Nothobranchius furzeri: one gene and its partner. The protein of the gene in region 2 purifies or fractionates together with the protein of the main gene of each other region. This does not show direct contact. Links are inferred from orthologs where the notes say so. Each region holds a gene or a part of one and is shown on either strand. Other genes may lie near its edges.

What was found.
Region 1: the proteins of mak (region 2) and katnip purify together in Homo sapiens (affinity purification with mass spectrometry; 3 studies listed by BioGRID and IntAct, with this or other methods). This does not show direct contact. The link is inferred for Nothobranchius furzeri from reciprocal best matches to the Homo sapiens genes MAK and KATNIP.

Annotation. Positions count from the first base shown.
Region 1 is NC_091756.1:31,629,837-31,637,916, reverse strand, and holds the start of katnip (katanin-interacting protein), read right to left. Parts: upstream 4,305-8,080; 5' UTR 4,078-4,304; coding exon 4,035-4,077; intron 3,723-4,034; coding exon 3,628-3,722; intron 2,116-3,627; coding exon 2,027-2,115; intron 1,764-2,026; coding exon 1,588-1,763; intron 1,231-1,587; coding exon 1,118-1,230; intron 1,027-1,117; coding exon 925-1,026; intron 787-924; coding exon 637-786; intron 442-636; coding exon 201-441; intron 83-200; coding exon 1-82. Other genes in the region: dcun1d3 (DCN1-like protein 3), read right to left, coding at 6,404-6,950. UniProt on the Homo sapiens protein: May influence the stability of microtubules (MT), possibly through interaction with the MT-severing katanin complex.
Region 2 is NC_091747.1:57,638,268-57,646,477, reverse strand, and holds the start of mak (serine/threonine-protein kinase MAK), read right to left. Parts: upstream 4,995-8,210; 5' UTR 4,207-4,994; intron 1,154-4,206; 5' UTR 887-1,153; coding exon 786-886; intron 1-785. Other genes in the region: zinc finger MYM-type protein 1, read right to left, coding at 5,774-6,301, 7,550-7,664, 7,831-8,210. UniProt on the Homo sapiens protein: Essential for the regulation of ciliary length and required for the long-term survival of photoreceptors. Phosphorylates FZR1 in a cell cycle-dependent manner. Plays a role in the transcriptional coactivation of AR.

The sequences.
Region 1 (8,080 bases), on a different chromosome or scaffold from region 2:
TTGACCAACAGAGGCTTAGTGGGTATGAAGGGGTCAACACTTTCATTCCTCTTGGCAGACAGAGAACGTTCAAGTTTACGACCTGCAGCAGATAGAGGACGCGTTCGCTAATAAAACCAGACATTAGACCTATAGCTGTCGAACAGCTGGTATGATTGCTTAGTTTAGTCAATGTTGAGGAGAAGATCCTTAAAGACTACCTTTAGGTGAGGGGCCAAAGTCCAGAACAATGAGGTTTGCGGAGTCAAAATGGCCGTGACTCCCGCCTGTCCGAGAATGAGTGGAGGACTTGGAGGAGGAAAGAGGCAGCCCAAGTTCATCCAGACTCTCGGTGCTCTCATCCCTCTCAATCTGCTCCTCTACCCACTCCTCGTCGGACTCCTCCCCTGCTGAGCCGCTGCTGCTCCGTCGCATGCTAACCTCCAGGCTCCGACGCAACACCTAGCATACAAAGAGACAGTTTTTATTCATGCATCAGTGCTCACACAGGCGCAAATACACAAGAGAGGGGACATGAGTGTAGGGATTTCCCTGACCTCTGTGAGTAGATCTGAAATCATCACTTAACACCAGGCAGCATCACAGTAACATGTGAAACTCACCAAATCTTAAGGTCATGGGTGGTTTTCCTCTCACCTTCACTTCCTCGAGGTTGAGGAGCACCTTCTCGCTGTGCTCCTGGTTGCCCTGGTCTTCCTGGCACTCAGCTCTGGAGCTGAAGGAGCGAGAAACCCTGCAGGCGTCTCTTTGACTCCGAGGACTACATGGCGAGCGCAGACTAGAGCGCTGTAGCAAACATGGAGAAAGAGAAATAAGGAAAGGGGAGAGACAGAGAGGTGTTAGGAGAGTTGCGTGTGACACACAGCTCCTCCCCTAAAACGACAAAACCCACACACAGTGTCTTGGCAGGAATTGTCACTCTACCTCCATGTTCACACTTTCATAAGCCTCAAAATCGTCAGAGTAGCACGTCGCTGGAGATATTTCCAAACTTGGGCCATGCTCGGTTTGAATTTTAACACAACCCTGCACACATCAGATAAGAAGATATTGTTACTACATGCACTTATATGTATTTTTATATAAAACAACAAATTAAGACATCAAAGCTCTTTACCTGCACCCATTCTTTCCTCTGGACCTTTGCTGGAGCAGTCTGGCTCCTCTTCCTGCCCGACTGATCCGGATTACGGCTATCTTCAGTTAGATGGTGGGCGCTTATCCAGAAATCTGAGGATGAGTCACAGCACAGAAAGGAACATGAGCAACTCGCTGCAGACTATAGCCTCAGAGGAGAGAAAACACTAAACTCGTACATGCAGATGGTCCACAGCACATAAAGGAAGCACCAGAAGAAAGCTGGCAGCTACAACTGTCACTATTGTTTAATCACTGAGACCGGGCATGGACTCACACAAAACAAGCAGCAGAGCGGTGGCAATTAGCTCATGCTCCATATGCTTTACACACGACAGAGGGACCTGCAGCTTTTAGCACAATCCCAAAGCACAAGCTCATAAATAACTAATGAAAGTATAATCAAGGTCTTACATAGGAGCAAACATTTACACTCGCCTAGCTGCATACCGGCTGTGCGTGCAGGCCTCCCGGCTGGCTGAGGGGCCTCTGGCTTGTTTTTGGGGTTCTTGAGCTGCTTCCTACTGGACTCAGCATTAGCGCCGTTCAGATAAATTGAGAAGCCTTGCTCCAGCTGCTCCAATTCGATCTCTCTTGGATTTTTCACTCTGAGGCGCTTTAGGATTCTGCAAAGCATAAATGAAAATGTAAATAAATAATGCTATATGCTGTATCTGATGAAGAAAAGTCTAAAAATGTTTTCGCTAAATTCAACCAAACATTTTCAAATGTATGCTTTTACTATTTTAAATAAAAACGTGTTTTTCCTCTAAACAAAAGCACCAAACTAAACAGAGCTTCAAACTGTTAGAAAACAAAACTGTGATGCATTTCCTCTGTGAAATCCAATCAGTCCATCTGCAGCAGCCTGTGCTCACACACACGTCACCTGTTTTTGTGCTGGAGGTCAATTAAATATTCATCCAGAGTGTCATCTCCGGCAGAGGCAGGCTTCTCTCCTCGGTACGTCTCACTCTCCTTCACACGCGCGCGCGCACACACACACACACACACACACACACACACACACACACACACACACACACACACACACACACACACACACACACACACACACACACACACACACACACACACACACACACACACACACACACACACACACACACACACACACACACACACACACACACACACACACACACACACACACACACACACAGAGTCAGGAAAGCATAGAGGAAAGAAACTTCCTAATGAACACACAAATGTATTTACAACCTATACCAACATAATTCTACGCACCACAACATTCATGCATGCAAAATGCTCCTCTAGATGTGTAAACAAAGCTTCAGTTAAAGTTATGTAAAGTGACAAGTTGTCACGTTTGTTAGAAATATCACAAAATCTATGTATGAATGAAAAAAAATTAAATAAATCCAAGCCACAACTGCTTTTTCTCAACCATCAATACTTGTTTATTTTTCAACTGAGCCTTTTTGTTGTAATATAGCCCTGTTATGTGCTACTTAGGTTAAGCAGTGACTGTGCAGTAATTTGAACTACAACTTCTGTTTCCTGCAGTAATTTATCTCTAGATAGACAAATGTGGTCTTTGTGATTTGACTCCAAACCAGAAAAGTGTTGGTGCAGCTTCGCAACTAAATCCATAAAATGATTGTTGACAAATGTCAGAATGAAAATCATGTGTGTTTATGTGTACATCAACACACCTAAACTAAGGTAACCAGATTGTGTAATCATTTAGATGAACTTGATGTATCATTATGCAATTTGCATACAATGCTAAATTAAAATAATCATCAGTCATTATCCCTCCAGATGCATCTGAGCGTACAAAACACAAGCCTCTTTAAAAGGAGCATCAGTCGTCTGTACAATGCAGCCACTCGTGCAGTTCCATTACTTTCAGTACAGGTGAAACTCGAAAAATTTAGAATATAGTGCAAATGTTCATTTATGCTTTAAAGGTGAAGTGAGGTGGACTCATTATGTGCAAAGCCAGACATTTCACACCTTTATTTGTTATAACTGTGATGATAATGGATTACAGCTGATGAAAACCCTACATTCAAAATCTCAGACAATTAGAATATTGTGAAAAGGTTCAATAAAGTGCCACACTCTAATCAGATGATCAATCCAAAACACGTGCAAAGGGTTCCTGAGCCTTTACATGGTCTCTCAGTCTAAAGCAAAATACTAAAATAAATTAATTTTGCACCATATTCTTGTTTTAGAGTTTCATCTGTATTCATGCGTGACAAATAAATAAAAAGAAATTACAAAGCTCTTACTGAAGTATTTACAAGTCAACTAGGATGTCAGTTTCAGGAGCAGAGAAGAGAGAAAGATGTGAAGAAGCAGGAAAATGCTGGTTAGTGATAGATCCCTGAGACACATCATGTGGAATCACTTAATCCTTTCAATAGTGGATTTTATGGAATGAGGTATGACATGAAAAGCACTGCTGACAGAGGCCGTTACATGAAACTCATCTCTTACTTTTTTCTCCATGGCGTGCTGCAGGGACTCATCTGAAAACACTATCCCATCTTTTGAAGAGAGATTATGTGACTCCCAGTTGAGTTTGATCCTCTCTGCAGCATGACACACAAACGCAGCTTCAAGATTGCTTGACACATCTTAAAGGACTTGTTTAATTTCGCCACACCCGACAAAAACATCGCAGCACCAGGTTGTGATTACATGACATCATCTCGTGTAGCACATCTGTTCAAGGTTTTTCCACAAACCCCCATTTGTTAGCAAGTGCACCTTTAAACATCAGAATCAGAAGGGTTTTATTGTCATATGTGCGAGAATCACAAAGAAATTAGGTGCTACTTGGTGGAAGAAAAGATAAATGACGAGCAAACATTTGAATTACGAAATAAACCCAGTGAACATACGTGCAGTTAGCGTAAGACAGCGCCTGGCATTTGATTTTGTCATTAAAAGCTAGCACGTTGATCGCTGGAGATGGGCCGATGGGCTTTTTCTTTATCGTGTCCTTTTTCCTTCTTTAAACCCGCAAAGTGTTGCTAGAGGCTAATCTAGCTCGCGTTGTAGCCAATGCAACATTAGCAACCTCGCGCTAAAGCTAACAACAAACCGATACGCTAATGAGTTAGCATGCATCCGTTTTACGTGACTAGATGTTTACATATGTAATGAAAAATAGTGACGTTACTCATATGTACATTTTTTCACAAATTACAAGACATACTTACAGTACTCCTAAAGAGTTGCATTATTAGTGTGTAAAAAAAATCGTATTTACCGATGGATTTACCCAATGTTGGAGGATTTCCTCCTGTGAGTTGTGTTGCTCGGTAACCAGGGGAGCTCTCCACCAATCAGGAGAGCTGAGGCAGCGAAGGACACGCCCCATCCGGACATACCTATGCCCTCTAACTCACCATTCAATTAAAAAAAAAAAAGGTGCGAAAAATACAATAAAGGCACACAGGTTTCCATGGCAAAAAAAATCAACACTGTTTTTATTTATTATAAATCAGTACATTTCTTATAAAAACAAAATAAAAGGGGATGAAATAAAACCATTTTAGATGTTTAATTAGATAGTGGCCACCCACTTCCATTCAACCCAAGTCACAGTCTGTTGACTAACCAGCAGGACTAACTAGCTCATTCCAAAACACCCTTGCTTATAATGATCAATCTACAATTTGGATACGCTTCAAATGGTAATATTGTGGTTAACAACAATCTCGGCAAAGCATTCCAAGTACAGCAAATTAGCATGCCATTAGTTTCTGTGCAATTCATTGCAACCATTGCCAGCAGCAGTACTTGCATTATTTGTGACGTGTGCACACATATTTTGAGTGTCTAGCAGTCGAAGGACGTAAAGACTAAAACTCCTGCAGTACAACAAAAGCTCTGTGAGGTGCCCAGGCTTAATGCAGTTTAGGCATCCCTCTGTAACAATTACCCAAATTTTTGATACAAAATTCCATTATTAAAATGAACGAGGCAGCTGAGAAAAGCCAACCTCATTCAGTTGCATACATTAAAACTGTTTGTTGAAAGAAGGCGGACATGAAAATGGTAGATGTTGCGGGAGCAACACATTCTCACACCCAAGGCGTCATAATATGACGTGTGTGACCAAGTCTCAATATATGACGATTCGGGACGCCCCAGTGCGTCAGGAGACGACGATCAGGGACACGCTGGGTCACGTGGCTCCGCTGGCGTCACTGTTTGACGCGCGCTGTCACACGGACGTTATTCGACTATTTAACCTTCCCGTCACCCCGATCCTAATCTTAAGGCCCATAAACTGTGACCTTAAGGTTAGGACTGGGGTGAGGGGAAGGTTAAGTAGTTCACAAGTACTTCTAATGTCCGTCTCACCACCGGCGTCGGACACCGACGCTCTGGGACGCTGCGTCAGTTGTTTGTCCCTGATCATAGTCTCCTGACATGCTGGGGCGTCCCGAATCGTCATATATTGAGGCTTGGTCACACGCGTCGTATTTTGACGCCTTGGGTGTGAGAATGTGTTGGCGGGTCATGGGAAAGCACAGAAGCTGCTCACTGTTCAGGTAGCACTCAAAAGTCAAAGAACACTGAATACTGGAGACAAGAACAACCAACTGGGATTTAAAAGTACTCAAACTGATAAAAGTATGCCAAAGTAACTGTAATTTGTATTTTTTTAAATGCCCCTATGACTGAATTATAATGTCCTTTTCCTACTATCTGTGGGCCAATCATGATAAACTCACCCTTGCTACACGGACACATAAAACCATCCACTCACTGATTCACCATCTCATTTTTGTCACTTTGAATTGATTTTAAAAAGGTAGTTAAGACATGATTTCCCTTCTTCATTAGAAACGACCCCCTTGAACAAATTATATCTACCATGTTTCAAGATTAAATCTGCTCACGGCTTTCTGCTGCCCATTCACTGAGCTAACTCTGATGGGTTGTGGTAGGTAGGTGTATGTATGTATGTATATATATATATATATATATATATATATATATATATAAACATCAACCACATTCTTAAAACGCAATGGATGGGGGAAAAGTAAACCAATAACTTAAATAGAAGTGCTTAAAACAACAGTTCATAGAGCCCTTTCAACAAAATAAAGCATAGCAGTAATCCCATCCCAACATACCAGGAGAGATAACTGAATAACTGAAATGATAATACTAATATTCATCCAATGATTCCCACATGTACAGTTCACATATAGAGCATATCCTCTCCCCCGAGAGCAAATATGGTTTCTGGTCAGTGCCCCCCCCATGTCTGTGAGCCACGGCTCCCCTCAGTTTCAAGTCTATCTGTGGTAGGAGGACAATCCGTCTCCGTACACCTCCCTCCTTCTTCCTCCTTTGCCTTCAGTGCCTGCTCCTCCTCTCTTTTCCTGCGCTCCAACTCCCACTCCACAAAAGTGTCAAAGAGGCTGGGCCAGGCCTCGTCCTCACTGTAGTTGCTGAGGTCAGACCCAATGGCCTGGGTGAAGTTGAGGAACATGTTCCACGTGTCCCTGGAGATGCCCCGAATACCGGAGGGGTTCTCGGCTAGAAACTCCAGCCAGCGTTCCAGAATCTCCGGAGTGTCTTGTGTGAAAACCAGTCGCCATAGTGCGATGGCAATTTCCCGCTGAAGCGACCGTTGGCCCTCTTCGGCGTCCAGACCGAACTGGAAGGTGAAACGGTAAAGGTCCTTGAAGTTCTCTTCAACCTGGGCTTCCAGCAGCATGTAAGTGAAGCGTGAGCAGATGCCCTCAATACTGTCCGCCCTGATGGCCTTGCAGCCCTCAACAAACTCTTTCCTGATGACATAAAAACAGGATCAGATGTCACAATGGGTATTCAGAATTACAGTAAAATGTCATTTACAGCAGTTCTGTGAGATCTGCAAAACCAAACTTGCCCAGTGGTGTTTAAAAATATCAAGTAGATGAGCTTATCTGCTCAACTTCAACAGCGGTCTGGGATTTTCAACATCAAGTGTCATACAAAATGCTTACGCCAGCATTGCTTAACAATGAAACATATGTTGCATTGTCCAAACACTTCGGAGTGAAAAGTGCAGAGTTTAAAATCAAAGAGAGTGGGGGGGAGCAGAAACAAATGACTCAGCCACAAACGGAGCGCTATTCAGTGACAGCAGGCAGAATGGGGCTCTGGAGCAGGACACACTTCCTGTATGACCTGACTGTGGGGTTTTGTGTGTACGGCTAGCTTTCTATGAACAAGTTAGCAAACATTTAAGATTAGAGGGAACGATAAACTGGTTCTCACGCAGATCCAAAGGGCAGTGTGTGGAAAGACTTGATTTTAGAGTTATGGGAAAACAATTTTTGGATAAGAGGAGTGGCCAAAGGTTTTGTTGCTGTGCAAGTACCGAGGTGTGTTTAACCTACGGTGTTTTTCCATTGTCGGAACTTCAGGGTAAATTCTGGGAGGGGGAAACTGACCGGGAGATAAGATGTCCCGGTCCTCCCAGGTGTTGTGTCTCCATGCAGATTTAGCTCTTTCAGGACTTTGCACAGGCGTCAGCATATCGCAACTTATTTTGCAGTCAGTGATGTCATTGATCAGCTCCAAAAAGCATCCTCAGTAACATTAAAAGTTTTACTCTGTCAAAGTACAACCTAATTTAATCCATTCAGAGGATGAGAGCAGCTGCGTGAGGTAAAAAACAGAAGAAGCTTGGTTTTTTTACGCTGCGATGCGAGACAAAAAAGCCCAGTGAACTATATCATCAGTCGGAGCTTCTTTTCTTTTGCTTCCATTCTGCTTCACAAGCAGCTCTTCTAATCTTACTAATGCCAGTTGTTTTGGACGACGTCTGATGATGTAATTTCCTACAGAGTTACAACCAATCAGTGTGAGTTGACGAAGGAGGGGTGCCCAATCCTGGTCCTGGAGGGCCGGTATCCTGCAGGTTTTGGTTTTA
Region 2 (8,210 bases):
TACTATGACGTTCTGCTGAGCTGTGGTGGCCTCATGGAGGGGGCCATCGTCTAGCACACTGCTGCTAACCACTTACACATTCTCTCTCTCCTGATAATAACTTTTTGTTTTCATTGACTTTTGATGTGCTAATACTAGTTTATCCGTTTAATTATAGATCCACTAGAATAAATACAATAAAGTTTATCTTTCACCAAATACAATATTTACTAAGACATCACAATATAACTATAGACACATTACGTGTGTGTGTGTGTGTGTCTGTGTGTGTCTGTGTGTGTGAGTGTGTGTGTGTGTGTGTGTCTGTGTGTGTCTGTGTGTGTGAGTGTGTGTGCTGCTCTGTCTTCTCGATCCCCAGTGAGTGGTGGAGGATGGCTGCTTATACTGAGCCAGGATTCTCTGGAGGTTTCTTCCTGTTAAAAGGGAGTTTTCCTCTCCACTGTCGCTGCATGCTTGTTTAGTATGAGGATTGCTGTATAGTCACTGACACTAGTCAGTGACTTGATGCAATTTGCTGGGTTCCTTATATAGGAAACATTATTTCTGATTGGCTTAATGAACTGTGAATTGGAATGTTTATTATGTGAAGTGCCTTGAGACGACTCTTGTCGTGATTTGGCGCTTTATAAATAAACTTGAAACTTGAATTAAAATTGACACAATGGGCATCACATAATTATTTCAATTGACTTTTTAAACCAGTTGTATCTAAATTACTCTCTATAGCATGGTATAGATAACAAGTAAATATTCAAGTTTTCGAATTAAAAAGCAAACTTCCTCACCTCTTGATAGCCACCAGTTCTCCAGATTCGTTGCTCCTCCCCATCAGCACACAACCATAGGTGCCATCACCCAGCTGCTTCAGGGTGGTGTAGCGATTCATCGTGTCTCAAAATGTCTTCATCAGCTTCCTAAAGCTCGTTCTGAGAGAGGTGAGCTGTGGGAGCACAGTGCTGAGTCATCTGTTGTCTTTAACTGGGGTAAAAGGCTGTTTTGTATCTCCAGAGCAGTTTAGTTGTTCCGGTCCAAAAGGAAGATCCTTAAGTTGTCCAATGTGCCACAAACCCCCTGAGTTTGGGCTTTAGAAATCATCTTCAAATATGTGATCGATTCAGTCTTGTAGGTGTAAATGGGTCGGGAGACAAGGGAGCTAAAAGTGAGAACAACAGCATCAGTACAAATACAAATGTCAATAAAACTCTCCAACAGATCCCTTTCTGTTTTTCCCCTCATAGAGGAGGATCAGGTGTGTGTCACATTAGGAAGCTTCAACACATGAACACCCAAGGGTGATGACACAGGCGGATTAGAGATGTAAATAGGCTGTTGCATCACCGACACGCTTACCGGCATCTACAGCCATCTCCACAGCACCCTGCCTGGCAATAGGCTTTGAGTGAGACCATCGGGTAGCGTTCAAGCTGTTATGCTGCAGATTCAGCCAAATAAACCTTGCTGACGGCATCTTCAACTTTGCACGGGCAACTACTTGCAGCTCAGTACTCTGAATAATTAAAACCACACAAAAACCTTTTAGGTAAAGCTCATCGTTTTGTGTTTAATATTCATGTTGGGCTAATCTTGAGTGGAAATGAGTCCAAAGCGTTGATGAAATTGTGCTTTAAGGGAACAAAATATAGAATATTAAACTCAAATATATAGGCAAGCTGCAAGTATACTAGGGCCTCAGTGGGTGAACCTTGGTGCAGCAGAAGCATGTGTGTGCATTTGAGAAAACCGTGTGTTCCAGCATCTCTTCCCAACTTAAATTTAGGGTGTTTAAATAAAAAATGTTAAAGAATGAGAATAAAAAAAACAGGATATACGTTTAAGCAGAAATAGTTTTCCAACTTTTAGGAATTATGCGGGATTTTTATTTTATCCTAAAAGTGCTAGTCCGACCCTGTACTCTGTGATATAATGTAGGCAATACATCAATGCTTTTTTATTTTGATAAGCCTGTCCTTGTCCCATAGAGCCTCATGCTATTTGAATTGAGCGCCACTTAGCATTAGCCAGCATTCACAAAGGAGAAGCAATGCTTCCAGCTGTAATCACGGAAGTATGGAGCGGGGCTTCATGTATGATTCATTATTTCTGCCTCTAGGTGGTGCCCTCTGACGAAAGACTCCTCTGCTTTAAAGATAAACTTTGCAGTTTTGGCTTGCTTTTAGCACCCCTTAATGTCCAATTTAATTCACCATCATAAAAACGAAACAGAAACTCTCCTCACTGCGTACTTCCGTAATCCATCCATCCATTTTCAGACACTTATTTGGAGTTGTGGGGACCTAAGCAGAGAGGTCCAGACTTCCCTCTCCCCAGTTACTTGGGCCAGCTCCTCCTGGTCAAACCCAAGGTGTTCCCTGGCCAGCAGAGAGACAAATTGTCCCTCCAGTGTGTCCTGGGTCTTCCCTTGGGTCTCCTCCCAGTTGGACATGCCTGGAAAACCTCACCAGGGAGGTGTCCAGGAGGCAGGAGACCAGAAGCTAGAGCCACGTCAACTTGCTCCTCTCGATGTGGAGGAGCAGCGGATCTACTCTGAGCCCCTCCCGGATGAACAAGTTTCTCACCCTATCGCTAAGGGTGTGGAGAAAACTCATTTTGGCCACTTGTATCTGCAATCTCGTTCTGTCACAACCCAAAGCTCGTGACAAAAGGTGAGGGTAGGAATCAACAGTATCACCTTCCTGCTCAGCTCTCTCTTCACCATAACAGATCAGTACAATGCCCGTATCACTGCAGCACCAATCTACCTGTCGATCACATGCTCCATTTTTCCCTCGCTCATGAACAAGATTGACCTCATCCCTGACCTGGAGAAGGCATTCTACCCTTCTCCAATTCAAGATCATGGTTTTGGATTTAGAGGAGCTGATTCTCATCCCAGCCACTTTACACTCTGCAAAAGCTGGAGACCACGTTCTGATAAAGCCAACAAGACCAGATCCGTAATGTAACTGCTGAAATGTCTCCTCAGCCTTAATTTGTTTCTACAGGAGTGATTATTCACTAAATCAAACAAATCAGCTGTGTTCATGATCTAAAACATGCAGGAGTCATATCTCTGAGCTCTCACAATGTAGAAAACCCGATGTTTGACTCCTATTGTGGTCGGGCATTTTTTTATTTATTGTTTCATAGGCCTAAAAGCTTCCTTAGTTTCTTTTGAGGCTCAGACCATGATAAACATGTTACAATAAATGCTATCGAGGTATAGCTCATCTGTTCTGAGGAGTAAACACGGATTGCTGTCAAGCTTGGATTTTGAAACTTCAAGGCAGCGATCCAGGGAGGCTAAAATTGCAAACAGGGTATCACAAGGGGCAGAGAGGCTTTTCATACACCCTGCAAATGGTAATTTTAGCACACACTGGCTAAAGAAAAGGATTTCAAAAATATGACTAATTAGCTCAGTGTGCCTTAAATGAGGTAAATGTGCTTATCTGACATATGTTTGACCTTATTTCCCTTCTTGACCAATAGGAACATTATCTGATGATGGGTCTGCTACAGTAGAGAAAGCACATGTTCTTTAGCATTTGTTCTTAAAATAGATGCTTGAAAAACAGAAAAGCAAGAGGTGAAACAATAATATAAAACAATTTCCTTTTTCTCAAAGAATTCCAAAAATAATGTTTAAAGCTAAATAATTAACCCATAAAACAAATGTAGATTTTAAATGTCTTTCGACACATTTCAATCACATCCAGCTTATTTCTGAATGCAAATTTAAAGCATCTCGTTTGACAGACAAGCAGCTGCAGAAGAATAGTAGGTAGATGCCTAGAGACCTACAATCTGCTAGGAGGGATTTAAAAGGAATTACCGTCTAATAAGGCCACATGACATTAGGAGCTAATCAAGGTCACTTCCCGGTGGACAACAAAAAGATTCAATTTAAGGATTATAACTGTGTGATATGACCACATTTGGCCATTTGACCAATAATATATAACTTTATTTTAATGAATTAATTCAGCACTTACTTTCAACCGTTCTATGGGATAAAGCAATTAAAATAATCTAACATTAGTTAGGTAGTATTTGTCGGGCAATAATAAACAAAAACTATAAAATACAATACGCGCAATTAATTCAAGAGAGAAACGTAGTTCGGACTACTGGTAGTTGCATCAACGTTCATTTTTCTCCCTGCCTCTTTTCTTATCTTTTAAACTGTCTTGGCGGTTTTAAACTCACCAGTTCAGAAGTAGCTTGTCTCCGTTGTCTGGCTCTGCTGATAGCTCCAGATAACATTCTCACTTAGCCCAAACCCAGCGCGTGCAGGTGTGTGCGCGTGACCTCTCCATGGAAACGAACAACATAGAAAGCTCAAACCTCTTCCGAGAGGTGACGAAGCGCGTGGCGGCCGCAATGCTTTGTGGGACTTGTCGTCCTGCACGCATTTATCATCTTCGTGATTGTTCTTGATATTCGGAGACGATTCTAAATGTAAACCATCGATATTTTAATTTAATTTTTGCGCAAAAATTAAAGCCATATCGATTAAAAGTGACAGTGATGTGTTTTCAGCAGTACTCGGGTTAGTCGCCACCAGATGGCGCTAAAATACCGCGATTGGACTATCAGACGCTGTGGTACTACAATCAGAGCACAATAAATAAAAAAATGTATATTATCTAACATTTAATTATATAGGCCATATGTGGTACAACATACATTAAATAAAAATTATATTAAGATTTAATCATATAAAAGCTATGATTATGGGGTCTTTTTTATTTAGTTGTCACAATTTTACGATTGTTTTGTTGTTTTAAACGTTCCTGTATTTTTCCACTAATATTAATTTTATATTTTCGATGGGCTACACCAAATCTTTACAGTACTGTCACTAAACAGAAATGCGTATGCTTAAGAACCCAGCAAACCACTGAAAATGTCATGTCTTCATCACACCAACAAATCAATGTCAGACTGACCTGAACCCTGCTTCACTTTAGAACAGGTCTGCTGCAAAACGTCAGCTATACTGACATACTGTGAAGCATATTACATATTTTAAAATATTAAATTATGCTAAATACAGATATGTAAAAAATATTTCTTTCCTCATGTCAAATCAAAGGTAACCCAAATAAATACAAATCTTTTTTAATTACTTTACTGGTGTTAAAGCCATCCAAACCAACATGACTTGCCACTAATCCCAATAACGGGGTGTGAAATAATTGACGGCAACATGCAATCAAGTATTAATGACACCAGTGAGGAGTCTCATCACTGTGGAGGAATTATTCAGAACTGCTTTAACTCAGGCACAGTGGAGGTTTTCCAACTCTTTCTAGGATCTTTTGTACGTACATTCTGTTTCATCCAACTGCCTTCTTTGCACTCTTTCTAGGATCACATCTGAGGCTTTCTCCTTCAGGATTTTTTAGTAGACAGACTTCACAAGTGGTCCAGGTCCTGCAGCTGTAAATCCGCACCAGGCCATCACACTACAACCATCATGTCTGACTGTTGCTATGACATTTGGGTGGAAACAACATTGGATTTACACAAAAGGTATAAGAAACCTGTCAGAAGATGACAGAAATTCCACAAAAGTAATTAATTTTTCTTCCCAAAAGCATTAGTTACAAAGTCAACTCACAATTTACAGTAATGTCAGACTTAATTTATACTTGGGAAATGAGTAGTATCAAATACAAAAAACCTTAAGGAAGGCAGGAGTATTTCTGTGTTTGCAAAAAAAAAAAAAAAAAAAATCCATGTATGTTTGTACGTTTGGGATAGAAGATTTTTATTTGTACATGAACTTTTCTCGTCTGTGTATCTGAGCTGCATATTTCTCAATGACCTTAGTGTTAAAATCACGAATGTCCTGGGTCAGTTTTTTCTCTATGGAGAGCATAGCCAGAGCATTGAGCCGATCCTGCGCCAAAGTGTTTTTAAGAAAGACTTTTATCCTGTTTGAGGTAGAGAAGCACCTCTTCGACTCTGATGTGTTCATGGGTGTTGTGATGACGATGTTCAGAAGACTTACAGTCTCTGTAAAAATGTCTTGAAGGTTGTTTTCCATCAAAACTCGAAAGAGTGCCACTGCACCACTGCAACTATGGAACTCCTCATTTTCATAGATCAGGGACAGTTCGGTTTTAAGTTTGGCCTTGTCCAGAAACGGGTAGGCTTCCAGCGCAGTGTCCAGAGCCGAGTCTGGGAACATTCTGCTGTGTTTTCGAAAGAAGTTTGCTTGCACCAGAGTGGCACTGATGAGGTGTTTGGTGAAAGAAAACCTCTCCTTGGCATGGCTCACGATGGTGTCACATACCTATGTAATGAAATAAAATATTTAAAAGGGGAGAATGAAGTCATCACATGTCTCACCATCTTTTATATGCTGAATAGTTACCGTTTTTTTTTTACATCACGCACCACTTATGCATCCGGTGGAAAGGCTAGGCTAGCCTATACTGTGAAAACTCAAAAAGAGAATAGTTCATTTGTTTTTCAGAAATTGCTTTCAATAAGCTGTCAAGTTGAATGAATTAACTTGGATAAACTTTATTCAAATTCGTGTCACCAATTTAAGTTGGATCAACTATTCTCTTTCGAGTTTAATGGCTTGACACAAGCAAAAACACATTCGCAAGTTTGCAAAACAAGCTAGCTTGAATTTTATTTCATACCCCTAACAACATTTTAACATTTAGTGAATATTTTGTGGAGATAAAAAAATTGGAAAAATAATGAAGTGGTTCTCTCGCATTAGTCCAAAAGCCTTCGTCAATACCAGAGCTCAGTCTTGTTTTGCAGTGGTCATTAAAGCTTTAAGCCTGATTCATGCTTCTCCGTCTGCGTCAGTGCGGAGACACGCAACGTCCTTGCGGAGCTGCCGGAGAGCTTCGCAAGGACGGACGGAGTCGAACTCTCTTTTCTAAACATCCGTCAGTCGAGACAGACAATGCAAGCTTGTGATTGGTCAGGACGCCGCTGTTGTCTACAGCGCCGCCATTGCGCCCTCAAAAACATAAAGAGAGCCGAGGATAACAAGCGGCAGACACGGAGAAGCTTGAAGAATACCTCGCGAAAACACTCTAAAAACATGAATGTTTCATTCTCCCATGACTGGAGGAGTGAAAAGATATGCAGCAAGCATTTTATTTGTGGACGGAAATGACAGGAAACGTGGGTTTAGAGGTGGCGAGCGCATGAAGAGGTGGAGAATGAGAGACAAATATGTCTGTGTTAAAAAGTCTCTTATATACACAAAACACACAATATTAACACACTATCTTGGACCGATACATGACAGGATACCACAGAAAAGCGCTACGCCCTCTGTGGTCCTGGCGGGCAATTGCTTTGCAACACTCTCCAGGAGACGGAGAAGTATGAGCAAAACGCTTCCGTCAATCCGTGCATGTCTGTCCCTTGCGGAGCTGACGGAGAAGCACGAACCAGGCTTTATTCATATCATAATATGACAACGCACCTTTCATTCTAGACTAGACCACCATCCCAGATGGCCTGCATCCACATAAGATTTCACTTTATGATCTGAAATCAAAGTGTTTACCTCCAGAGCAAAATGGTGCTGCATGTCTTCTCCCATTCTTTTCCATTTCTTATTGGGTGGCTCCTGAATAGGTACCACAAATGCCTCCTCCTTAACCAGAAAAGGAATGGCCTCTCTGATCCAAAACAGAAGTTTCATAAATAAGTCATAAAAACTGTCTAGGGATATATTAACCAAACCTAATGTTGTTTTATAGCAATTATATTTATCAACTTAACGGATTCATCGTTTGAAAACAATGCGTAATGAGGCTAGACTACATATGAACACATTTAGCCTACCTGATAGTCTGCATGCTGTTAATGAAATTCTGGATGACACCAGCAATGAAGTCAGAATCAATGTTCGTCTTCTGTAACTCGCTGTACAGCAAGTCCACATGTGGCATGATCTTGTGAAACAAGGAAAGGAAGAAACAGAAAGTTTCATCCTCCAGCATTCTCACAAAGCTGCCCGCCTCTCGTGTCGTAGTGTCATCAAAGCTTTCTCTGTCCCGGATGGTCTCAAAACATCTCACCAGATCGTCCTTGTGCTCATACACAGTGCTGACGGCCCCACTGCCAAAATTCCAGCATGTTAATGTGTTTGGCACTTGGTGAGTCACCTCACCGAGCACAGCAGCCGTTTTGAGTGATTTAGCAAAAAAAGAACCAAATCCTGC